7 linked regions of the Callithrix jacchus genome follow. The protein of the gene in region 1 interacts with the protein of each later gene in a pairwise test. Links are inferred from orthologs where the notes say so. Each region holds a gene or a part of one and is shown in the gene's direction. Other genes may lie near its edges. The genes, in order: CDC5L, TRIO, YWHAZ, GOLGA2, KIF5B, DISC1 and SFR1.

Region 1 (3,500 bases):
AAGATTGTAATCCTTTTGTGTATGTATTACTGTTGCTTTTCCCCCAGCATTTTATTTTGAAAATATCAAGCATTTAGAGAGGTTGAAAGAATGTGTGGAAGTTATCAGTATTGAAATGGAATCACTTATGTAATATTTTCATGAAAAAGGAACCCTCATGTGCATATGCCCATGACAGAAATTATTGCAGAGATCTTCTGAAAACCACACAAATTCCAGATAAGTTGCTTCTGTGAAGACATTGCCCTACCAGGTTGAACATCCTAAATCTGAAAATCCAAAATCTAGACTTTTTGAGCACCAACAACATGACACTCAAAGGAAATGCTCGTTGAAACAGTTCAGTTTCGAAGTTTCAGATTTGGCGTGCTCAACCAGTATAATGCAAATATCCCCAAATCTGAAAAAATTCCATATCTGAAACTCTTCTGGTCCCACATTTCAGATAAGGGGTGCTCTTATCTATATCGGCAATGAAAATAAATGCCACCTCCTGTGCTAAGTCCCTGTAACCAGTGGCCTTTATTTCAAAGCAGTTTTCATGGACTTCTCCCTTTTATCATTAAAACCTTCCCCTTGCCCCAGCACCCTCGGGTATACCTGTGGTCTGTCATAGCACGCATATCCCACAGTCATCCCTTGTTGTTCCTGAATAAACTCCTTGTTTTGGAGACCCAGTCTCTCACCTGTTTAAGTTGACAAATGCTAAAGTGAACATCCGTATCATCATGCCACCACTTAGATTCTAAGATTGCTAGTATTTTAGTGTATTTGCTTTATCACCTATCGATCCATCAATTCATCATATTTTTAAATGCATTTCAAAGTAACTTGCAGATATCAGTTTGTTTGATCCCTAAGCACTTCCACATGCATTAACTAGAATTAGTATTTTTTTATAACTCTTTTGCTTAGTTTTAAGCTGCCATTTTTTAAGAAGAATCCCAAAAAAACCCAAACAGTACAACAGTAAAAAATAATACAAATACAAATACAGTATAACAACTATTTATATAGTATTTAAATTGTATTAAGTGTTATAAGTAATCTAGAGATGATTTAAAGTACATGGGAGGATGTGCAAACGTTATATGCAAATACGATGCCATTTTATATCAGGGACTTGAGTATCTGCAGATTTTGGTCCTGGAACCAATCACTGTGGATACTTAGGGACAACTGTACGTCTTGTTTGTCACCTAGATTGTAAAATCCATGGGGACAGGGACCATGTCTTATGTGATAACACCTTACCTATCAGGAATAGCTGTCTGGCAGCATCACCATTCTGCAACACACCAATATACAGGAAATAGGCAACCAGGAAAAAAAAAGACTTTGAATAATTAAAATATGGGTTGCTGCAAAGTCTGTGGATCTAATTCCTAGGAGACTCTCTTAGGCCTCCCTCAGGAGCTTACTCATGTTTAGATGGGATTCTAAAAGTGTGGTATTTGGTTTCTAAACAAAATGTAAAATGAGGAACTATTTAAAGTGTGTACATCAGTAGTAATGACAATGATAATGATGCGCGAGAGCCAACAGCTTGTTAGGGAGGAGACAAAACCAAATTCAAAGAGGAATCTGGTCATTGAGTGTGGTGGCCCATCTCCCTGCCCACTGCATATTCTTAGCTGCCCTAATGTGCCTGGAAAAGGTTGAAATAATGTTTAGTGGACCTAGTTTATTAGAAAGGCTAGAAAATATCATATGTAATGACTATTGACAGTTAAAAAGTAAAAATATTATGTTTAAATAACATGGTAGCTCGACCAAACATTGATTTTAACCTAGAGAGCCTAATGAAACTAGCTAGACAGAATTTCTGGAATCTTTATTTCTTTATTTCCTGCGAAATAATTTATGTGACAAACATTTGAAAGCACAATCTAAAATATAAGTAGCGCTGCTGTTAATTGGGATTCCTGTCTTTCTAGGACTCCTTCTAATGGAACTGAAGGGCTGACTCCCCGGAGTGGAACAACTCCCAAACCAGTTATTAACTCTACGCCGGGTAGGACTCCTCTTCGAGACAAGTTAAACATTAATCCTGAGGATGGAATGGCAGACTATAGTGATCCTTCTTACGTGAAGCAGATGGTAAATGTCAATTCCCTTTTAAAACTCTTAATTTTTTTTATATCTCATGGGTGCCAAATTAAAATTTCTCCTGTTAGTTCATATCACGTATACCTTAAGAATCTATACACCTGTGGATGCCAAAAAAAGAGAATGATTTGTAAGACTTGATGAAAGAGGGAATCTTTTGGGCTCAAAACCTACCTTTCCTTATGCTTACTAGGTTTACAAATATTGATGTTTGTTGTTGATTTTACTGAAGTTTTCTTCAGCAAGGTGAAGTAGAAAGCTAATTGTAAAAGTTAAGTTTTGCTTCTGCACATGTAATTGCATTTATTACTTTGCTATTGGGCCTTATTATCTGATGCTACAGAAATCATTGTGAAATTAAAAAAATAACTTCTAATGATACTGGCTTGTTTTCATTTTAAAATTAATTCTAACCTAATGTATATATTTGGTTGATTTATATATGTTTTTTTAAAGTCCAAATTGATATCAACTAAAGCCACCTCTGACTGGATACATAAGAATTAAACATTGAGAACTTCATGCATGCAGAGCATGCATTTGGACATTTGAGGGATCTAAAGTTGAATAAAGATGTCCTTTGTCTTAAGGAAATTTATATTCTGGGGAGATTGGCAGTACTAAACTAAGTCCAAAAATAATTGTAATATCAGAACAGAATAAGCCCTTTGAGTAAAACCAATGTGCTTGGGGTAAAGAAAGGAATAATCACATTTGTTGGGTAACAGGAAAGCCTTAATTGAGGAGGTAGGTTCTGAAGGAAGATGGAGGCTGTCCCAGATGGAGACCACAATATGAGTGAGCACGGAGGATGTTTTGGACCTAACAACCCATCTGTTCCTCACAACCTAGTACATGTTAGTAGTAGTGGGAAATGAGGCTGGAAAGGCGAGCTGAGGATGTGGTGAGAATATTCTGGGAAAACTCTGGGTACCAGGAGGCTTTTTTGGTAATCAGGACTTGACTCTCTTTTGCCTACATGGGATTCAGTATTTCTATTAAAAATAAACACACACATACAAATTCAGATATCTTTCAGAGTGCATTTTATTAGTCCAAGGACAAACTAACTTTTGAACCTGTTCTTTTCATTTGCTGTTACATTTCAGTGTCAGAAATGTATTCCCTCAAATGAAAATTATAGGGGTCTTTTTTTTGCCCTGTCCTCAAACCTTCTACTGGAATATCCCAGAGTATCTTCAGTAATAACAGGTGAAAGTTTTCGATTGGTCTGAATGTTGGGAATAAGGAAGAATAGAAAACAAAGCAAAGATTTATCTTAGTTCTGAAGTCAGGATTATTTTTCTAGAATTAATACTAGGCTGATTTTTTTGAGACCTTTCTCTTCTTATAATTTTTAATTTTTGTAGATACATAGTAGCTGTATATAT
Region 2 (3,500 bases), on another chromosome or scaffold:
TGTACAACATTGTTTGAGCTGAGGAGCCACAGGCAAACAGTGGGCACCCACAGGGACGAGAACAGAAGCAGACTCCTCCACGGAGACGAGGACAGGAGCCGGGCAGCACCACCGTGTTTATTTTAAATATGCACTACAGGTTTCGATTCAGAGCCCTGGTACCTAGAATTCCCAGTGGCTGGCTTGTTGGCTCTCTCATGCTTGACATCGTGGAGGAGGGCCAGAGGTCTCTTCCCTCCGGTCCTCTTGGCGAGCTACAGCAGTCCACCACCTGCTCCAGCATGTCCTGATACCAGCTCAGTAGACCAGGGCTGAGAGGCGGTAGAGCAGGGTGTTCTAATTGTGTCTGCACTGACCCAGGATTTACCCAGGGCGTCGGAGAGCCCAGCAGAAGCTAGCACCTTTGGAGTCTTGGGAATCCATGAACATCCCAACAGTGTCCTCGGTGGAGGCCTTTGAGCACAAGTTCACGGGAACAAGGCACCAGATGCCATTTCTCACATTCTACTCCATAGAGGGGCCTCAGGAGCTGGCGGGGGATCTGCGCGTTCGTCTCCTCCACCCAGAGCCATAGGCCACGCGCTAGATGGGAGTTTGGGACAAACACTGCCATTTGTGTTTCTTCTTAGCAGCTAACCCCACTCAGTGTGTGGCCTGGGTAGGGCCTTAAGAAACGCTCTTTGTCTTACCAGTCACTCTGGCCTCATTGACTGGGCCACTCACCATGAATTGAGTTCCTGCTGCATGGCAGCCCTGTGACTAAAGAGACCTGGTCCCATGGGGGCAGAGGCTTAAGTGGGGCGGGGTACGCATCCCACACCAGAATCTGTTCCCAAAGCTTGAGTCACAGCACCTGTGGTGAGCCGCACTGGGATGCTTTGTGTTGTGTTCCCATGGCAATAGCCTTGAGGACACTTGAGTCATGCAAGCTCATAAGAGGGACTCCCAGCAAGCTCTTACACTGGAGACAGAGCTGCTCTCCATAAGAGCAGAATAGTGATCGATTTATGTTCAGGTGCTCCATGTTGTTTTTGAAGCAAAGAAATAGAAATGATCAGGCATGTCAGCAACTTAGCATGATTCTAAAATATGCATTCCCAGTGAACATTCTATCTGGAAGATTTGGGGACTTCTCTATTATGGAATCTGTCAGTGAGATGAAGATTAATTTTGCATCAGTTAATTTGAATACCTTTTTTCAACTGATAATGGTACAGTGACACGGCTGTTTGCTTAGGAATAGCCTAACGTGTAAATGAGAAGTGACATTGTAGTCTTGAAAAAAAAAAGGAGTAACCTAACATGGCGTTAACATGAGGTCTGAGATGTTCCTGTGAGGGTGCAAGGAAGGTCACAGTGTGACCAGCTCCCAACACCAGAGTCATTATTGCAGTGAATTTTTTAAGAGCATCCCTAAATTGCTTTCTAGAGAGCCCACATTTTCAGTTATTGAAATAGATGCACAGAGTTAGCCAGAGGGTAAAGAAAAAGTTGAAAGTTTCGGTGCTGCCCGGTGAGCCCTGCACTGGGTCATGGTGCCGCGGGGCACACTGGCACAGGACTTCATGTGATCAGGCCTTGTTTCAGTTCCCCCTGCCTTCTCTGTCTTCATCTGTCCCTCTGCAGAGTGAAAGCAGCAGCAGTAGCAACATCTCCACCATGTTGGTGACACACGATTACACGGCAGTGAAGGAGGATGAGATCAACGTCTACCAAGGAGAGGTCGTTCAGATTCTGGCCAGCAACCAGCAGAACATGTTTCTGGTGTTCCGAGCCGCCACTGACCAGTGCCCTGCAGCCGAGGGCTGGATTCCGGGCTTTGTCCTGGGCCACACCAGTGCAGTCATCATGGAGAACCCCGACGGGACTCTCAAGTGAGTGCTTGACAGCAACAGCAGCTGGGCAGGCAGCAGAGGGAGGGGCCACAGCGCCCTTGAGGCACAAGACCCCAACCGGGGTAAGCATGTGGAAGGGAGAGCAGCACTGGGGTGTTCATTCCAGTTCAGCTCTGAGCACATGGGAAGATGGGTGGCCTTCCATCTCACACTCACACTCATGCTCACAGGGTCTTTGAATAATCTGCATTTAGAAATAGTCTGCTCTAGCCCATTGTTAAGGAATCCCATCTGACAGCATTTTGTGTTAGTCATAACTCACAAAAGTGTGTTTTTTGTTTGTTTGTTTGTTTTGTTTTGTTTTGATGGAGTTTCGCTTTGTCACCCAGGCTGGAGTTCAGTGGCATGATCTTGGCTCACTGCAACCTCCGCCTCCCAGGTTCAGCGATTCTCCTGCCTCAGCCTCTTGAGTAACTGGGACGACAGGTGTACGCCACCACACCCGGCTAATTTTTGTATTTTTTGTAGAGACAGGGTTTCACCACATTGATCAGCCTTGTCTTGAACTCCTGATCTCATAATCCACCCACCCCAGCCTCCCAAAGTGCTGGGATTACAGGCATGAGCCACCACACCTGGCTGGTTTTTTTTTTTTAACCCAAGGGGAAAATATCACCTATTTTTCTTTCTCCAAAATACATTCTTAGGCCCCATTTTAGTCAGGGTCCTTGAGAGGAGCAGAACCAGTAGGGAGTGTGCATAGATACCAGCATAGACACAGGCACGCCTCTTTTGTGTGTGTGCTTTGCTTTAATGTGCTTTGAAGAATTGGCTTTTTACACGAGTTTTGTGGCAGCCCTATGTCAAGCAAGTCTCTCAGTGCCATTTATCCAACAACATGTGATCCCACTCTGTATTTATGTTACATGTTGGTGATTCTCACAATATTGACACATTTTGTTGTTATATTTGTTATGATGATACATAGTGATGTTTGATGTTACTATTATAATTGTTTTGAGCAACTGTGAACTGCACACATTCAAGATGGCAAACGTAATAAATGTGTGTGTTCTAACTACTCCACCAACTGTCCATTCCCCCATCTGTCTCCCTCTCCTCAGGCCTGCCTGCAACACAATAATATCAGAATTAGACCAGTTAATAACCCTACAGTGGCCTCTAAATGTTTACATGTCCCTCACTTTAAATCAAAAGTTAGAAGTTTAATGAGAAAGCCATGTCAAAAGTGGATACAGGCCAAAAGCTAGGCCTCTCGCACCAAACAGCCAAATCATGAATGCAAAGGAAATAAAAGTGCTACCCACTAAACAGACGAATAGTAAGAAGGTGAAACAGCCTTTTCTGAGACAGAGAAAGTTTGAGTGTTCTAAACAGAAGATCAAGCCACAACTTTGCCTTAAGCCAAAGCCCAACCCAGAATAAGGCCCCCTCTCTCTCCAGTTCTATAAAGCCTGAGACAGATGAGGAAACTGCAGAAGAAAAGTTGGAAACCAGCAGAGGTTGGTTCATGTTTAAGGAAAGCTAATCCAATAACATGAAAGGGTTAGGGGCTAATGCAGCTGGTTACTTTAAGTTGAAGCCAATGCACATTTACCATTCTGAAAATCCTGGGATCCGTAAGAATTATGCTAATTACGATCC
Region 3 (3,500 bases), on another chromosome or scaffold:
ATTTTAATCATGTGAACGATTTTCCACAGGCAATTATGTTTCAGGTTTTAATAAGGCTCACTTACCACAGGTATAATTTTGACTGTTTATTTTGATGGGAAAAATTTTAAATACTCCTTTTTTCCCCCCTGCAGAACATTCAGTCATGGATAAAAATGAGCTGGTTCAGAAGGCCAAACTGGCCGAGCAGGCTGAGCGATATGATGACATGGCAGCCTGCATGAAGTCTGTAACTGAGCAAGGAGCTGAATTATCCAATGAGGAGAGGAATCTTCTCTCGGTTGCTTATAAAAATGTTGTAGGAGCCCGTAGGTCATCTTGGAGGGTCGTCTCAAGTATTGAACAAAAGACGGAAGGTGCTGAGAAAAAACAGCAGATGGCTCGAGAATACAGAGAGAAAATTGAGACGGAGCTAAGAGATATCTGCAATGATGTACTGGTGAGAATTCCACATCCAGTCTGGCTTCATTACACTGTAGGGTTCCTATGAGTATCAGTTACATTACTCTCAACTTTTTCTTTCCTTGTTCTTTTCCTTCTAACATTGTGTGTTCCAAATTTAGAAGTCTTTATGGTGTCATGACTAAAAAGATGTTAATACAATTATAGATATGTTTATGTAGAATAATTGCAACAATGATTATGAAACAGTTGTTTTGTTAAAAATAATAGACTTTAGTATTCTATTTTATATTAATTGAAAAGAAAAACTAACAGTATTACTGTTTTTCTTGTGGTTAGAATATTTGTAGTAGCTCTGTAGCTGATTGTCTTAAATGTACATCTATGGATAAAGGAATTTTGCATATTTAATGTGAGAGATGTAGTAGGATACTCATTGTAGAAATAGTACTCTTTGGATTAGCCGCTATAATGTTACTGTAATGAGTCAGTCATACAGAAAACTGGCCTCACAACTATGAAACCTCTTCCTGCATTGAATTGTTGAAAGTAAATTTTGAATACTCAACAACCATGATGAAAGGTTATGGATAACTCAAAGCTTGACTTTCCAGTTTGAATCAAGTATTTTAAGTATTCAGTACTTACTGTGTTGAAGCACTGTACTTAAAAGAATTAAACTAAACTTTGGTTAGTTTTAATCTGTCATACAAAAGCAAGGCTTTTTGATCAAGAATAGTTTAAATTTGAGGATAAACTAGTAGAAAATCCAACCAAGCTGGCAGTCTTTAGAATAATATTTAAAGTGGTTTTACTAAGTGGTTATACTTACCAGTATGGCAGGGCTCTGATATACAAAGAGGGACAGCATTTCGATTTTTCTGGACAGGTTACTGAATCTGGGACTCGGGATGGAAATCCGTGTGTGTTACTTACTATATGAACCTTGTGGAAGAATTGCTATAATGAATAATAGGATAATATCTGATGTGGTTGTATCTGTGTACATATTACTCAGTTTTTGTTCAGTCTGGTGTGTTTTGCCCAGTTACAGCTTATCAAAAAGTGTTTATTTTGGCTTCAAAGGATGTGTTACAAGTTAAAATTTCCCTTAAGACAAAAGTCAATTTTAGGAACAAAAAGGAATGTTAACATTTACTTTTTACTAACATGCTTATTTGTAATACCAGGTAGGTATGTGCATGCAAAGTATAAAAGTTCCTGTCATTGTCTTTTCCTAAGAAAAGGCTTATAGCAGGTGTTTTTTTTTTTTTTTTTGGAAACAGTTTTGTACTTGTCGCCCAGACTGGAGTGCAATGGCACTATCTTGGCTCACTGCAACCTCTGCCTCCCAGGTTCCAATTCAAACAATTCTCCTGCCTCAGCCTCCTGAGTAGCTGGGATTACAGACACACGCAACCACGCCCAACTAATATTTTGTATATTTGGTAGAGATGGGTTTCACCATGTCAGCCAGATGTCCTGACCTCAGGTGATCCACCCACCTTGGCCTCCCAAAGTGCTGGGATTACAGGCGTGAGCCATCGCATCTGGTCCAACTTGTAGCAGTTTTAACTATGCTTCCCTTTGGTTTCCTTATCAAGAAATTTTTTTGCGTAGAACCAGTAAGTGAGAATGACAAGATAATCTCTTAATATTAATAGCTTCTTTTTGTTCGGATTATTAAGGAGGTTGATTCTGGTTCCTACTCATGTTATCCTCCAGAATAGCACTGACTTCTCTAAAAGGTTAAATGGCATTTCCCCTTTGAAAGTTTGGATGAATGAGAGTTTAATTCCTTTACTACACAGATGGCTTCGAAGAGAATTCTAAGCAAGCATTTGCTTCCAGCCTTAGTCTTTTGTTAAGAATATTAGTGATCTTTGCATACTCATAATGTGTAGTAGATGCTCAAATATTTGTTAAGCATAAAGGCTTCTTTTGAGAAAAAGGATAGAATTAGGTCAGCAGCACTACAAAATTTCCCTGGCTTTTTCTATTTCTGCTTGGGAAAATTTGATATTTACAGATAGTAGGCTTCTTTTTCCTACCACCTTTTTCAAAGAGGTCACGTTGACTCTAGCACCATCTTGCATAAAATGCCCTTTCCCCTTTCTAGTGAAGTGGAAGAATAAAATGTAGCAGAACTGATGTTTCTACCAGAGAAGGTTTTGTTGTACTTAATGATTAGTAAAAGTGTTTTAATTATATTTTTAAGATCTTACATGATAAAAAAATTAATATTTTTTTATTACTCCAGACTTTTCTGAGCTTTGATATATATATTTTTTTTAATTTGAGAAAAGCAGGTTATTCCTTTGCAGAATTAACAGTATTGGCTGGTGGCATTAGTGATAACCAGCTTTTTTATATTGAGCACTTGTTTTATAATAGCTATGAAAATACACTCTTCCTACAAAAAGCAACTAATCTCCAAAGTTCTGAATTTTTCTGAAGAGCTCTTTGGTAACCCATTCTGGTTACCTGTATTTATTAATTGTTTAATCATTTAATAAGCAAAGAGTTGGGACCATGTTGCTTTTTACAACAGTTAGTAGAGTATTACCATGGGAAGTGGTCACTGGCATGTTCTTCACAATGTGGACTTTTCATTATGTAAAAGAAGTTGGGGTTCTTCTCTTCATGTGTTAATTTGAAACTGCAATATGTGAACAATCTGCCTTTCCTGCCAGATGCTCAGACAAAAGCTCTCTTGGTAATTGGGGAGGGACTTAGCACTGGTACCTCTTTAAACCTGAAAGATGGCAGCCAAAAATTGAGTAGTTTTTAACTTAGACATGATGAAGTGAACACCAAGGAAATACAGTCTTGGAGGCCTATTTCAAACTCAAAAGAAGTATGTCGAGATGAATAATAGAGCTCAAGATTTTGAGTCAAACTAGTTTTACCATTTAATAGATGCATGGCCTGAGGAAATCACTTAGTCCCTCTGAGAAAACTGAGCTCAATTAAGTAGGAATAATACTCATCCCACAGGATTGTAAGGAATGAGAGTCAGGTAAAGCACCTTGACTACGTTCTGTGTCCTGTTTATCTCAGCTTTTCTGTTCTGTTTAAAAGTGTGAACCTGCTTGTAA
Region 4 (3,500 bases), on another chromosome or scaffold:
CTGACCAACATGGTGAAACCCCATCTCTACTAAAAATACAAAAATTAAGGCCAGGTGTGGTGGCTCACGTTTGTAATCCCAATTGGAAGGCCAAGATGGGTGGATCACGAGGTCAGGAATTCAAGACCAGCCTGGCCAAGATGATGAAACCCCATCTCTCTAAAAAAAATTAAAGAAAACAAAAAAAATTAGCTGGGTGTGGTGGCATCTGCCTGTAATCCTAGCTACTCAGGAGTCTGAGGCAGGAGAATCGCTTTAACCTGGGAGGCAGAGGTTGCAGTGAGCCAAGATGGTACCACTGCACTTCAGCCTGGATGACAGAGCAAGACTCCATCTCAAAAAAGAAAAAGGAAGGACATTGGTGTTGAGGTTGGCATATGTATCAAGAACACACAGTAACTACCAAGGCTTCCCAAGTTTTGGCAAAACCCAGGCGTTTTGGGTTTTTGGTCATATGGTTGGAGCATTCCGGGTATCCCCTGGGGTTGCAGCTCTCTATAAGTTTGGTGTGGCTGAACCAAGAAAGAAGGCATATGCAGATTTCTACAGAAATTGCGATCCCCAGAAAGATTTTGAGGAGATGAAGAAGGCTGGTTTTTGTAGTATAAAGTCATGTTGGAATAGAAGGAATTTCTTCAGGTTGAATTACCTAGAAGTTTGTCACTGACTCGGGTTCCTGAACTATGACACATGAATATGTGGGCTAAGAAATAGTTTCTCTTGATAAATAATTAACAACAACAAAAAATGAGATCAGTCAGGCGTGGTGGCTCACGCCTGTAATCCCAGCACTTTGGGAGGCTGAGGAAGGCAGATCACTTGAGGTCAGGAGTTCAAGACCAGTGTGGCCAACATGGTGAAACCCCATCTCTACCAAATACAAAGATTAGGCAGGCGTGGTGGTGCACACCTGTAGTCCCAGCTACTTGGGAGGCTGAGGCAGGAGAATAACTTGAACCTGGAAGGCAGAGGTTGTAGTGAGCTGAAATCTCACCATGGCTCTCCAGCCTGGGTGACAGAGGGAGACTGTCTCAAAAAAAAAAAAGAGACCATGGGCTTGGAAATGCCTGGAAAACATGTCAATGTGATTGAGGAAGTATTACTGTGGAGTAGTTACTGTAGCTATTGTTACTGGTTGGCCAGCTGCTCCTCTCCCTGCTATATCCTGACTTAACCTTTCTGTATTTGCAGTACAATAAGGAGTTAACCAAAGAGAGAGATGCCCTCAGGCTGGAGTTATATAAGAACACGTACGATGGGAGATGGTGGGATGGGAGGTCTGGGGGCCCTTAGCATGGGTGGTATGCTGGGAGGTGGGGGGTATACAGGGAAGCATGGTGAGCTGGTCATACAGGTTTGCATGTGTGCCCAGCAAAGCTCTAGTAACAGCTGTGCCACTGACATGCATGGTGTAGCCTTGGGCAACTCATGTTGTCTCTCTGGCCTGCTACATGTGACTTTTGATTCCTGGGGTTCCTTCCAATGCCATGGTTCTGTGGTTGTGGGGCAATGGGGTTGATCACCAAAACAGTCTTTTCTGTTCTTCATTCCTTTCTTTCTTTACTGCCTCTGGCCATAGCCAAAGCAATGAGGACCTGAAGCAAGAGAAATCGGAATTGGAAGAGAAGCTTCGAGTCCTAGTGACTGAGAAGGCTGGCATGCAGCTTAACTTGGAAGAACTGCAAAAGAAGTTAGAGATGACTGAACTCCTGCTTCAACAGGCAAGAGGCTGCAGCCCTGGGAGTGGCTAGAGCCCCATCCAGCTGAGGCCATGCTCTAGGGAATCATGCACGCTATGGGGAGGCTTCAGCCAAGAGCTGGAAAATTTCGGTTCTTGTTCTGGTCCTGCCATAGAATCCTCTAGAGAGTGCTAAAAATCTACAAATTGGGGTCCTGCTGTAGACCTGGAGAATCAGAATCTCAGGATTAGGGCTTAAAATTTTTTGTTTGTTTAAAGCATCATAAGTGAAAACCATTATTTTAGAGATTACATTTATATGGCTAGCTCATGAGTCTGTTTATTTCCTTCTGAGGTTCAAGGCAACACTTTCACTATTCCATGGTAATAATAGAGAGTAGATTTTTTTTTTTTTTTGAGATAGGGTCTCGCTCTATCACCTAGGCCAAAGTGCAGTGGCGTGATCTCAGCTCACTGCAACCTCTACCTCCCAGGCTCAAGTGATCCTCCTGCCTCAGCCTCTCAAGTAGCTGGGACTACAGGTGCACGCCACCACATCTGGCTAATTTTTGTATTTATAGAGATGGGACTTTGCCATGTCGCCCAGGTGGGTCTTGAACTCCTGAGCTCAAGCAGTCCACCCACCTCAACCTCCCAAAGTGTTGGGATTACAGGCATGAGCCACCATGCCTGGCCTGAGATCTTTTTAAGATTATTTTTTATTTCTAAGGTAAACTTGACAGCAGAATTTTATTGACCAAGTTGAACATTGAGCCTAGCCCTAGCCCTTTTAAGGGGCACTGTGTGGAATGGCCTGGGCTCCCCACATCTAAACTCTCTTTAACATCCAGTTTTCAAGCCAGTGTGAAGCCCCTGATGCTAACCAGCAGTTACAACAGGCCATAGAGGAGCGGGCTCAGCTGGAAGCACACCTGGGGCAGGTGAGGCTTTGCAGGGGAGGGATGTGGAAAGAAGATGACCCCAGGTGGCCAGGAGCAGGTGAGGGCCAGTGACAGCCCTTCCTAACTTCTGTAACCATTCTTGCAGGTAATGGAGTCTGTTAGACAACTCCAAATGGAGAGAGATAAATATGCAGAAAATCTCAAAGGAGAGAGCGCCATGTGGCGGCAGAGGATGCAGCAAGTATCAGAGCAGGTGAGACCTGACCCTTCAGGTCTAAGGTTGTTTAGGCCTGAAGCAAGGGCCCAACAACCTTAGATAGGTCACTTGATCATTGTGGGCATCTGTAAAATGGGAGAAGCACAACCAGAGGTGGTCATGGGTCTGGGCTTTGTGGAGATGGTAGCCTATCCAACCACCAGCCCTTTCCTGCTGTGCTTTGGACAGGTGCACACATTGAGGGAGGAGAAGGAGCGTAGCATGAGTCAGGTACAGGAGCTGGAGACAAGCTTGGCTGAACTGAGGAACCAGATGGGTAAGCTGGGGCTGGGGTGACCTGGGAGTAGGACTTTTGTCAGAGGGCTTCAGAGATGGCTTAGAATGCCCCAGGGAGCTGGCACTGAGGCAGAGGGAAAGAGGTTTGTGCCAGGAGATGGCAAGTCTTGTCATCTCTATGAGCCTCAGTGTCCCCATCAGCAAAGAGGGAGGAGTGCTGGTTGTCAGCCACCCACAGTTGTCATTATTGAATAGTGGCTTGGAAGACTGGCTACCATCCAGGTGCAAGGAATCATTAGCAGGGAGGCCAAGTATGGGGAGCCTAAGAGGAGCTGTGGACCAAGAGGAGGGAGGGCATTTTTTGAGAATCCAGAGGCCCTTATCGTCTGCTTCCTTTTTCAGCTGAGCCCCCGCCCCCAGAGCCCCC
Region 5 (4,214 bases), on another chromosome or scaffold:
ATAGAAATATATGCTGAGAAGATAAAGAGAAGAAAATGTGTTGATTCAGATGAGAGCTAGTGTAAAGCACTATAACTTCATATTTTCTCAAAAAATAAAAAATAAGGCCGGGTGCAGTGGCTCCCAAGCACTTTGGGAGGCTGAGGTGGGTGGATCACCTGAGGTCAAGAGTTTCAGACCAGCCTGACTAACATGGTAAAACTCCGTCTCTACTATAAATACAAAAATTAGCTGGACGTGGTGGCAGGTACCTGTAGTCCCAGCTACTCAGGAGGCTGAGAAAGGAGCATCACTTGAACCAGAGAGGTGGAGGTTGCAGTGAGCTGAGATAGCACCACTGCAACTCCAGCCTGGTCGACAGAGCAAGACTTTGTCTAAAAAAAAAAAAAAAAAAAAAAAAAAATTAAATGCCATGTATGTACCTATGCAACAATCGTGCATGTTCTCCTTCTGCAGCACCTCACAGCCACTTCCCATGGAATTTTATGGTACTCATCTTCTAAAACTAGAAGGCAAAGTCAACTATGGAATGGTTTTCATATGTAATGCACAAATTTACTTAAGCTTTTTAAAAAGACTATCTTTATCCTCCAGGTCAGTCATTACTCTAGTATTGGGATTGATGAGTTCCGTATGTTTAGTGCCGGGGAAGTGGCGGGAATTCGCTGAACTGCGTGGGAGAGGCGAGGGTGCGGGGCTGGGATGCAAGGCACTAGGCGGCTGGAGTGACGGAGGCTGTGTGAGGGGGCTGACGGCTCTTCCCCCTCCTCACCCTATTGTTCCACATTTCTTTGCAACTTTATTCATTCCCTAGGAAAAATTTCCTTTTTCTTTCTTATTCCTGTCTCCCCACATCCCATTCTCTCAGGAAAGAGCTACCCTTCATCGAAATCCTACCTTTTTCTGGCAACGTGTTCCAAAAAGGTTGGCCAGGAATGATTTTTTCCCCCAGACAAAAATGAAAGCAACACTTCCTTATAGGAATATAGTACTTCACATTTTAATTTTAAAGCTAGTCATGTGAAACAGTGGCAGTGGAAAATAAATAAATCTCTGGCTGCGATCAATTAGTTGCAAACACCATCGCACTCAGACCCGCCTAGTGGTTTATTTAAACGACATTAAGTAGCTGAAGCAAACCCCTTCTCCCACAAAGAAAAGAAAGCTAAGTGCGTCTGCCTTGGCTCTGGGGAATTCTTCTGCAGCTTGGGATGCGGAGGGAAGTCGCCGCACTGCGTCCCCAGGAACTTCTTCGAGAGGGTCCTTGCAATAAAATTTGAATCTGCGACCCCGGGCCGGGAGTGGTGGCGGAACCGGCGGCACGGCCGCAGCAGCCGGGTGCGAACGCGGGCACCGATTGGTTGCCGGGCCGCCCGGCCCATCGCGCCTGCGCAGTCCTCCTCCCGCACCGCCCAGTAGCCCATCTGCGGCCTCTGGAGTGATCCGGCAGCGGCCGGCCAGCAAACCGCAGAGCGTGCAGACGGGTGGGCCTGGCCTGTTCTTTGCGAGGAGGAAAGAGTGGGCCACTCTCCCGGCCCCCAGAACCTCCTCAGTCCCCGCAGCCCGCACAGGCCGGTGAAGGGGACGCTGAAGAGCCGCGACGCTCTCCCCGGTGCCGCCGCCGCCTTGGCTGCCATGATGGATAGGAAGTGAGCCTCAGGGCAACGGCTGCCGGCGCCGGCGCTTCGAGTCCCGGCTCCCCGGCCGCCTCCGCCCGGGGAAGCGCAGCGCGGAGAGGCTGACTGCTGCCCCTCACTGCCCTTGCGACTCCAAGACTCTCAGCCCCGGCGCGCTCCCTCCAAGACTGAGCGGCGAGGAGTGGCTCCCGGCCGCCGGCCCCGGCTGCGAGAAAGATGGCGGACCCGGCCGAGTGCAACATCAAAGTGATGTGTCGCTTCAGACCTCTCAACGAGTCTGAGGTGAACCGCGGCGACAAGTACGTCGCCAAGTTTCAGGGAGAAGACACGGTCGTGATCGCGGTGAGTGACCCTCTCCGGCACCCTTCTCCCCGCTTCTTTGGTCCAGGCGGTGCGGGGAGTTTAGGGAAGTGGCAGGGTGCAGAAGTGAAAGGGAGCGGCAGTGTCCCCAACCCTTTCTGCAGAGTTTGCCAGTTAAGATAACCCAGGGGAGGGAGACTGCGCAGCGTCGCGGGCGTTCCTGGATCGCCCCTTCCCCAGTCTTCGGCGCCGGGAGACGGGAGGCGCCCAGCCTCAGCCCGGGACACTCCCCCACCTGGGGCAATGGAGGAATGTCCGGGGAGCAAGTTCAGTGTACGTTTGTCTGCGTATCTGTGTGTGCAGTTACGGATGCTGTTGGTGTTTTGGACTACCCTAAATTTACCATTCAAAAAATATGTAGTGCTAATACAAGGTTTAGCTGGGGCATTGAGCTCTGAGACAAGCGGTGGTATACTTTAATAAAGGTACTTAGTTTTATGGAAACACATAACCAGTCCTTGAACCGTATTGTTTCCCCCTTGGAGAAGGAAAAAGCACCAAACAGCTACAAATATTATCTACACCTCAGACGTTCACCACGTTTTGAGTGATGAATGACTTTTCATGTGAACAGTTACAAATGGCAAATCGAGGATTGTAGAAAGAAATAGTTGAGTTTTTTTTTTTTTTTAAATCAGAATGATCAATTTTGTTTAATCTAACAGACCTAGCCGACTTTGGTTGGGTCAAATAAGTGCTCCGAAAGACAAATCCCACTCTTGCTGGGTTTTGTGGGATAACAGCCTAGGAGAAAGTATTAACTTCTTGTTTTTATGTCATACAGAAAGCAATATAGAAACAAGCTTTTTAAAAAAGAAAAAGTGTTAGATTCATACATCTGCAATTAAGGTCTATCTTGAAGAAAATTGATCTTTAATAATCCCAAGAATAGTGAGATACTGTTTTTTTGTAATGTAAAACATAACTAGAATTTAATGACCGTTGTCAGTGAGACCAGAATGTGAGGGTTTTTTGAGGTCTGATCTCTGGCATTGAAAGATCTGGCATTGAAAATAGCACTGATCTCTGGCACTGAAAATAGCACTCTGAGTTGAAGGAGATTAAAAATTAATTGTATGGCATACAAAACAGTGAACTGTGACTAAATTATGTTGATCTTTGTTGGTATTGCTATTAGTAGAAATTTCTACCTTGTTATCGTATGAAATTTTAATATGTTAATTTTTCCTCTAATGTCTTTTTTTTTCTGAGGCGGAGTTTTGCTCTTGTTGCCCAAGTTGGAGTGCAATGGCACGATCTCGGCTCACTGCAACCTCCGCCTCCTGGGTTCAAGCGATTCTCCTGCCTCAGCCTCCTGAGTAGCTGGGGTTACAGGCGTGCGCTACCACGCCCCGCTAATTTTTTTTGTATTTTTAGTAGAAACGGGGTTCATCATGTTAGCCAGGCTGGTCTCGAACTCCTGACCTCAGATGACCTGACCGCCTCGGCCTCCCAAAGTGCTGGGATTACAGGCGTGAACCACCGCGCCTGGCCTAATGCCATTCTGTAATACTGCGTTTGGGCTATTTAATTTGGAAGTAGGGCAGAGGTCACAGGAAATGGGACAAGGATGATTGAAAGCATTGACGTTGAAGACAGACTAAAGTTCTTTAGGGTTTCCATGTGAAAGTTTCTCCAAAGTTCACCTCCAAAAAATGAATGTCTCAGCTCCTTGGTAGTCCTTTGGCAAACAAGTCATTAGGCCACTAACAACTGCCAGCTATTACTGTGTAAAGACTGTCAAGCCGGTTCTTTGTTAACAAGTCCACAAGAAAATCTCTTGTGTAAATGACATCATAGCCCAGCAGAGGAGAAGTTAAGTGCAGTAATCTTTTTCCTTTAGGATGGGATATTTTACATGTAGTCAGGAGGCTTGCAAGAGTTGTCAAACTTGAGGCTACTAGTTGCTTAAGAGTTTTTGTGATTTATAGTACTCAGCTTCAGCAATGGTTGGCACATCAAACCTAGTTTTTCTTTTACGCTTGTCTTAAGAATGTCTTATTTCTTCAGATTTTGTGTTTACACAAATCTATAATTACCACTATGATTCTTTTTGTTGGAATGCTAAAATTTAGGATTCATAAAATATATTAAGATTAGAACATAACCGTTGATGAGGCCCAAATATGGCATAAACTATGAAGAAAAAACTAATGGAAAATGAATAAAGGAAACATACATTCTAGGTTTCCATTTGGAAAAAGTTGCTTTTAAGTT
Region 6 (2,558 bases), on another chromosome or scaffold:
TGCCAACCACAGATCATTGAGCATCTGAGGTGGCCATCTGTCTCAGCTAAGAGCTTACTCTTCCATTTCCTTTTTAAGACCTGATTTGAGATAGTCAGTACCTCAGGCATTGTAGAAATTGCAATTATTCTTAAAAGAAAAAGTGTAAAATTTGTATTAATATTTAATTCCTACAATTTGAAAGAACTTGAAACTGCAATTAGATGGCAGTGCCCATCTGCTTCCAGGGGGCTCACATGCTCTTCCATCCCTTGGAGGCTGCAGAGGGCCGCCATCACCTTCGGATGTGCTCCTTAACAACGTGCCCACAGTCTCTCAAGAGGGAGCTCCAGATGGTGAAGGAAACTCTGCAGGCCATGATCCTGCAGCTCCAGCCAGCAAAGGAGGCGGGGGAAAGAGAAGCTGCAGCTTCCTGCATGACAGCTGGTGTCCGGGAAGTGCAAGCCTGAGGAGTGACGGGATGGGGGAGGGAGGTGGGCCACCATGTCAACAGTTTGGACCCGGGGGTCTACTCTCCCTTCCCACTGCATAACTAATGTGCCTGAATCAATTATGGAGACACAGAGCCTTGATGTCTTTCAGTGGAAAGGTGGTTCATGTTCATTCTCATGAGTCAGAAACCGAGGAGTCTGCAAATTGGAATATGGAGAGGGAGACTGATTTGCTGAATTTGCTTCTAAATGTCATTAAAAATTTTCTTTGCCATGTCATTCATGGGAATGTCCTGCACAGGATTCAAGAATATTTTCATTTCAATCCCCAGTAGAGAGAAGCTGGGGTGAATTCTGGAAAAAAATATCTCTTTTTTCTACACCATTTGCCTTCTGCTGTAACTAAAACATTTCCTGATTCAAGATTCTATAAAAAGGAAACCAAGCATAAGACTCTGTCATCCTACCTGTTACACGTTCCTACAGGTGCACCACTAAGAGAGCTAATTAACCTCAGAGTCTGGAATTAACAGCTTTTCACCTTACTTCTCCTGTGATCTAATATTATCTTAGAAAAATTACTATGCAATTTCCAAAAGATATTTTAGTTAGGCAGCAGCCTGTCAGTGATATGCCACCTTTCAGTTTCCTTTTGTGGCAATGATTACATCTGAAGAAAGGATCCTCGAGAGTCTCTGTTTCATCAGGACATTCTGTAATTTACCTGTAGTGAGGCTGTGAATGGATCAGGAGACCCGAATGAAATGTTTGAGCCTGTTCTGTTTTCCCATGGAACATATTTCACTCAATGCCAGGCAGTGCAGCATTTAGGAAAGCAGTGCAGTACTCAGTAATACAGTACAGTACTCAGGCAGTGCAGTACTCAGGCAGTGCAGTACTCAGTAAGGCAGTACAGTACTCAGAAATGTGCAATATTCAGTAAGACAGTACAGTACTCAGGAATGCAGTGTAGCGCTCAGTGAGGCAGTACAATACTCAGTAACACAGTGCAGTACTCAGTAATACAGTACAGTACTCAGGCAATGCAGTACTCAGGCAGTGCAGTACTCAGTAAGGCAGTACAGTACTCAGAAATGTGCAATAGTAAGACAGTACAGTACTCAGGAATGCAGTGTAGCGCTCAGTGAGGCAGTACAATACTCAGTAACACAGTGCAGTACTCAGTAATACAGTACAGTATTCAGTAAGGCAGTGCAGTACTCAGTTACACAGTGCAATGCTCAATAAGGCAGTGCAGGGCTTAGTAAGGCCGTGCAGTACTCAGTAACACAGTGTAGTACTCAGTAGGACAGCACAGTTCTCAGTAACACAGTGCAGTACTCAGCCAATGTAGTACTCAGTAAATCAGTGCAGTATTCAATAATGCAAGGGCATTGCGGGCTCCTGCTGGGCTCTTCCTGCAGGCCAAGCTGGGACTCCTATTGAGACAGCTGCAAAACAGGCTGATTTCAATTAGGCAGCACTTCCCAAAGTGCACTTAGGAAGGTGGCCCCAAGAGGTGCTCTCTAACCAAAGGAGTCCCCCTCTCTGGTCAAGTACCTTTGGTAAATACACCATACCATCATATCTGCTTGGAGAGCCACAGGACACATTAGCATATTAGTCTGTGAGAGAAGTTATAATAAGGAAAGCCACTTGATTTTATCTAACCTCAAACTTTCCAAGTTTAATGGATCATGAATTTTTTTCATGTAACTCCTATTCATATCCCATAGATCTAGTATTGGTCAGCGCTGCACTCTCCGAGGAAGTCCTAGTCCAAACACTGACTTATATCATTTCAGAAACCACACTCAAACTTGTGCAGATTGGTAAATTTAATCCAGTAAATGTTCTGTTTGTGCTTCTGTCCTCATTGATATGTTCAGGGATAGTGAGGTTCCTGCCTTCACTAGGATCCATGGATACGAGGCCATTTTGGTCATTTCCTGAAGTCACTGGCATTTCCAGAAGGCATCTGGTGCTTTGCTGAGCCTTCCATACTGTGCAGCACTTCTGTCCTCAGTCGAGGAGATGGCCCTGCTTAAGCCAGCAATTGGCTGGGGTTCAGGAAACGAAGCAAAAGCACCATATGTGAATGTGCTGATTGTGTTCCCTGCGGCTTTA
Region 7 (4,237 bases), on another chromosome or scaffold:
TAGTTGCCTCTTACTAGTTCTCATTTAATCCACCAGTCCCCTATTAACAGATGAAGCTGAGGCACAGAATCACCTCATTAAGAAGCGTATAAAGCATAGTGTCAGGATCTGAACCTAGACAATCTGACTCTAACGTCTATGTCCCTAATCATGGCTTTAGGTAGTCCTCAGGCTCTGTATTTATTATAGCTGACTGTGTAAGACTCAGGTAACTCCCTTCTGGCCACTTCTAAGCCATTACTGTCAGATGTTACTAATAGTAAAAACACGATATAAATGTTTAAAATGGCCATTCAATAAGAAGACTGAAAACACTGGCCTCTGGAAAGTCCCAACTTCCACGTGACTCAGAAGTTACTCAACTCTTTCCCTAAACCCAGTGCTCCACCCAGTGTAGTTAACTTCGTCGTCGCGTAGCCACAGAAACTTGCCACACTGGAAGCCGAGGGGGTGGGGTGGTGGATTTTCTAGACTGAGGATGCTGCTGCCTGGTGGTCGGCAAGGGCCCTATCGGTGTCAAACATCTGAATTTTGGACCGACATAATCTCATTTAGTGATTGTTCTGCTTGCTGTGTTGCGCCACAACAAATTTCCTTGGGCTAAATTTTCCCTCAGATTTGAGTAAAAGAGTTGAGATCACCCTAAGGAGCCTGAATACTGAGGTAGAGAAACAAATTTTTTGTTATAAAACAAACAAAAAACTTAGCGACGCGACCGCCGAATTTGCGGCAACCAAAAAGCGAGGAGCTCAGCTAAAGTGCCGGGACTCTCGGATAGATTTCTAATATGTCTTGTTCTCAACAGGCTCTTTTCAACGCTGCTCTTTTGTGGTCTCTGCCTCTAGGGAGTCCACAAGCTGTAAATCTAACGGACACCCAGCCGTGCAGCTTCCGGCCGCGCCAAGTCTGAGGAAAGCCTTTTCTGCGGTGAGCTGGTAGAGGAGACTGACGGGAGCCAGGGAATGGAGGAGCCGAGCGCGGGGCGGGGCCCCTTTCAGGCGCACTTCACAAACGCACAAAAACAAGGAAGCCGGACGGAAGGCGGTTGAAAAAAAGGCAAGGGAAGCCAGGAACAGAAGCGCGCCCCCCTCAGGATCGGTTGGTCGTTCCGAAGCTCAGCCTCGCCTGCCGGTTAAGCCCTGCTTGCCGATCACGGCCGCGCGCACGCGCGCGCACTCCCGCTGCTCTCGGGTGCTGGGCGGGGAGAGCCGCGCGCGCTAGTTAATTCTGCCAATCACGTGTCTCGGCAGCCTATCGCATGGCCAAGTCCCGCACTAGCCGCCCACTGGCGGAGGCGCGCGCGCAGACCCGCCGCTCTCAGTCGCTGAGTGAAAGCAGCGCCTCACGCGTCAGTCAGTCTGGCCAATTGCGTGTCTTTTCCGTGTCTCGCACTGCCCCGCCTTGCCACAGGATAGATTTACGGCCGCAACTGCGCGCGCTTTTTGCTTTCGCTGGGGATGGCGGAGGGAGGTACTCTTTTGCAGGGAACGGGGCTACCTGAGACCTGGACTTCCTCGGGAGTCTGCTGTGGAGTCGAGTTGAGCTCCCTTTCCGGGTCGGGGGAACTGAACCTAAGCTCATCCCTGGAGTCTCCGGGGATCTAGTGGGCTTTCTGCGGCGGGGGGCGGGGGGGGGGGGAAGAGGGACTCCTGCCTCTGGTTTGCCTCGCAAAAGTTTATGCCTCTGTCGGAGGAAATAATTCCAGTGCACTCTCCTTGAATTCCTGATTTTCTAAAGCTGTTTTTTCCCCTCCTCCTAAGGCAGAATTTGAATATTTTTTGGTAGATGAAAACAAGGAGAGTCGTGACTATGAGATAATAGCTGGTTGTGAGGTACTAGCTGGTTGATGTGTCATGAATAAATTAGTAGTCCCTATGTGGGAAGGTAAATGGAAAACTGCAAAAAGAACAAGAATGAATTATAAAGTGAAATTTGAAGAAGTATCTGTCTTACTTGTGGATGTTTTGTACACAAAATAGTCATAAAAATTGACTATAGAGAGGTGTGGTTTTGATTCTCATTTTATAATTTTTCTTTTTTAGAGAAAAGCCAAGATTTCATTTTCAAGATGGAAAGTCCATCAGACTCAGCTGCAGTTTTACCTAACACTCCTCAGGTCTCTGCAATTCCATCGTCTCCCTATACAAGTAGTTCACGAAAACAAGTATGAACATCTTTGTTCTTCCAGTGGATCCATTCTGTGTTCTAGGTATTGTGGCAGTGGTGATTTAAATTCTACTAAAGATGGTTAATTAACATAATGTGTAGCCTAAATAAGTAGATATTTTATTAAATAATTTTATGTTTTTCTTCTAAGTTAACATATATGATACCCACTAGCCTTCCGCCATGTTTTCCTCTTGAATTAATTCATTTCAGTTACTTTCAGATTAGGTTATTACAACACTCACCAAATTGAGAAAGTGAATCTGTGCAGTATTATTATGAAGGTCTTTAGTGGCAGGGTCTAGGTCTTTTCCCTACTCTGTAATTCTGAAGCACCTGGATTACTGTCAGGCATGTGCTTGTTCCTGAACAAATGCTTAATTACTGGGACAAACCTCTCAACAGTTTTAGAAAGGTGTTGATCTTGCTGAACTAAAAAGAGAATAAAACAAATGGAGTTTCCAGAAATTAAAGACATTTTGTGATGCCTTCTTTAGATATGGAGACAGCCACCTAGTGGTGTCTAGCATAGAAATGTAAGGCCTTTATTTCTGATAGATTTATTTACATCAAGAATGTTCTTCTTGATTAACATTTTTAATGTTTTGTGCTCTTTACAGCCTATGAGTGCAACACTTAGAGAAAGATTAAGGAAATCAAGATCTTCATTTAATTCTTGTTACAATGTGGTGAAACGTCTTAAAGTAGAGAATGAAGAAAATGATCAGACCTTTTCAGAGAAACCAGCATCTTCCACAGAGGAAAACTGTTTGGAATTTCAAGAAAGTTTTAAATACATGGACAGTGAATTTGAAGAAAATACTTTGAAGAATCTCAGTGTCTGTGACTCTCAGTCGCTTAATTCTGGGTCATGCAGTGCTCTCCAAAATGAGTTTGTGAATGAGAATCTGCCTAAACAAAGATTAAGCGATGAAAAAGCCAAATTGGTGAAGCAGGTTCAGGAGAAAGAAGACCTTCTTCGGAGGCTAAAACTAGTCAAAATGTATAGATCAAAGGTAAGAATTTGAGGACCATTGCATAATTTTTATTTTTATATAAATTGCAGGAAAGTAATTTAAAAAATAGAAAGTAGGAGCTTTTTTTCTTTTTTTAAGCATAATAAGCAATAAGCCAAACATTCAGAAACCTGGCTTCCAACAACTTTAATTCAACTCCAGATTTATAGTAGAAAAGGCCCGTAAACACTAGGGTAAAACTTTTAAAGAATCTCAGCTCTTATTTAATATGCAGTTAAACTTTTCTCTGTAGTTTCTAGCTTGCAGGAATGTAAGTATTAAATGTTAGATAAAAGTACGATGGTAACAGAAGGGAAAGCTGACAGTGAATTAGTAAAACTAAAAATGAGCTGTAGAGTACAATAAAAGGTATTTTTAGTAATCATCTTGTTCCCCCGCCAAATAATTGATGTGATTCAGCCATTTTATTTGAGAAAACAAATGTATATTAGGCTTTAGATTTAGATAGGTTGAATTAAGTAGAATTTGGAAGGAGATAACCTTTAATACCTGAAAAATTCATATATATGTAATAGCATATTTTCCCCCAACTACGTGGAATAAATGATGGGATAGAGTATCTCATTTATCTTAAATTTTTAGAGTTTGAAAAAAATATAATTATTAGGCCGGGTGCCGTGGCTCAAGCCTGTAATCCCAGCACTTTGGGAGGCCGAGGCGGTTAGATCATGAGGTCAAGAGCTTGAGACCATCCTGGTCAACATGGTGAAACCCCGTCTCTACTAAAAATACAAAAAATTAGCTGGGCATGGTGGCGCTTGCCTGTAGTCCCAGCTACTCAGGAGGCTGAGGCAGGAGAATTGCCTGAACTGAGGAGGCGGAGGTTGCGGTGAGCCGAGATCGCGTCATTGCACTCCAGCCTGGGTAACAAGAGCGAAACTCCATCTCAAAAAAAAAAAATTATTGAATGTTGAAAAATTTTATTTATTTATTCATTCCTTCATTTATACTTTGTTAAGAGACATGGTCTCTGTTGCCCAGCTGGAGTGCAGTCATAGCTTATTGCAGCCTTGAACTCCAGGGCTCAAGTGATC

What was found.
Region 2: the proteins of CDC5L (region 1) and TRIO interact in a two-hybrid assay, tested with the Homo sapiens proteins (2 studies listed by BioGRID and IntAct). The link is inferred for Callithrix jacchus from reciprocal best matches to the Homo sapiens genes CDC5L and TRIO.
Region 3: the proteins of CDC5L (region 1) and YWHAZ interact in a two-hybrid assay, tested with the Homo sapiens proteins (2 studies listed by BioGRID and IntAct). The link is inferred for Callithrix jacchus from reciprocal best matches to the Homo sapiens genes CDC5L and YWHAZ.
Region 4: the proteins of CDC5L (region 1) and GOLGA2 interact in binary tests that used the Homo sapiens proteins (3 or more experiments, as listed by UniProt). The two-hybrid records come from large-scale screens. The link is inferred for Callithrix jacchus from reciprocal best matches to the Homo sapiens genes CDC5L and GOLGA2.
Region 5: the proteins of CDC5L (region 1) and KIF5B interact in a two-hybrid assay, tested with the Homo sapiens proteins (2 studies listed by BioGRID and IntAct). The link is inferred for Callithrix jacchus from reciprocal best matches to the Homo sapiens genes CDC5L and KIF5B.
Region 6: the proteins of CDC5L (region 1) and DISC1 interact in a two-hybrid assay, tested with the Homo sapiens proteins (2 studies listed by BioGRID and IntAct). The link is inferred for Callithrix jacchus from reciprocal best matches to the Homo sapiens genes CDC5L and DISC1.
Region 7: the proteins of CDC5L (region 1) and SFR1 interact in a two-hybrid assay, tested with the Homo sapiens proteins (2 studies listed by BioGRID and IntAct). The link is inferred for Callithrix jacchus from reciprocal best matches to the Homo sapiens genes CDC5L and SFR1.

What each region holds. Positions count from the first base shown.
Region 1 is NC_133505.1:52,878,076-52,881,575, forward strand, and holds part of CDC5L (cell division cycle 5-like protein), read left to right. Parts: intron 1-1,937; coding exon 1,938-2,100; intron 2,101-3,500.
Region 2 is NC_133503.1:190,740,438-190,743,937, reverse strand, and holds part of TRIO (triple functional domain protein), read left to right. Parts: intron 1-1,626; coding exon 1,627-1,874; intron 1,875-3,500. UniProt on the Homo sapiens protein: Guanine nucleotide exchange factor (GEF) for RHOA and RAC1 GTPases. Involved in coordinating actin remodeling, which is necessary for cell migration and growth. Plays a key role in the regulation of neurite outgrowth and lamellipodia formation.
Region 3 is NC_133517.1:96,020,124-96,023,623, forward strand, and holds part of YWHAZ (14-3-3 protein zeta/delta), read left to right. Parts: intron 1-134; 5' UTR 135-145; coding exon 146-439; intron 440-3,500.
Region 4 is NC_133502.1:176,868,508-176,872,007, reverse strand, and holds part of GOLGA2 (golgin subfamily A member 2), read left to right. Parts: intron 1-1,191; coding exon 1,192-1,250; intron 1,251-1,579; coding exon 1,580-1,721; intron 1,722-2,529; coding exon 2,530-2,619; intron 2,620-2,725; coding exon 2,726-2,833; intron 2,834-3,025; coding exon 3,026-3,113; intron 3,114-3,475; coding exon 3,476-3,500. UniProt on the Homo sapiens protein: Peripheral membrane component of the cis-Golgi stack that acts as a membrane skeleton that maintains the structure of the Golgi apparatus, and as a vesicle thether that facilitates vesicle fusion to the Golgi membrane.
Region 5 is NC_133508.1:31,791,297-31,795,510, reverse strand, and holds the start of KIF5B (kinesin-1 heavy chain), read left to right. Parts: upstream 1-1,414; 5' UTR 1,415-1,853; coding exon 1,854-1,979; intron 1,980-4,214. UniProt on the Homo sapiens protein: Microtubule-dependent motor required for normal distribution of mitochondria and lysosomes. Can induce formation of neurite-like membrane protrusions in non-neuronal cells in a ZFYVE27-dependent manner.
Region 6 is NC_133520.1:52,906,638-52,909,195, reverse strand, and holds part of DISC1 (disrupted in schizophrenia 1 protein), read left to right. Parts: intron 1-310; coding exon 311-449; 3' UTR 450-2,558. UniProt on the Homo sapiens protein: Involved in the regulation of multiple aspects of embryonic and adult neurogenesis. Required for neural progenitor proliferation in the ventrical/subventrical zone during embryonic brain development and in the adult dentate gyrus of the hippocampus.
Region 7 is NC_133513.1:97,125,274-97,129,510, forward strand, and holds the start of SFR1 (swi5-dependent recombination DNA repair protein 1 homolog), read left to right. Parts: upstream 1-1,437; 5' UTR 1,438-1,457; coding exon 1,458-1,470; exon of another isoform or gene 1,471-1,555; intron 1,556-2,042; coding exon 2,043-2,164; exon of another isoform or gene 2,165-2,209; intron 2,210-2,786; coding exon 2,787-3,182; intron 3,183-4,237. UniProt on the Homo sapiens protein: Component of the SWI5-SFR1 complex, a complex required for double-strand break repair via homologous recombination. Acts as a transcriptional modulator for ESR1.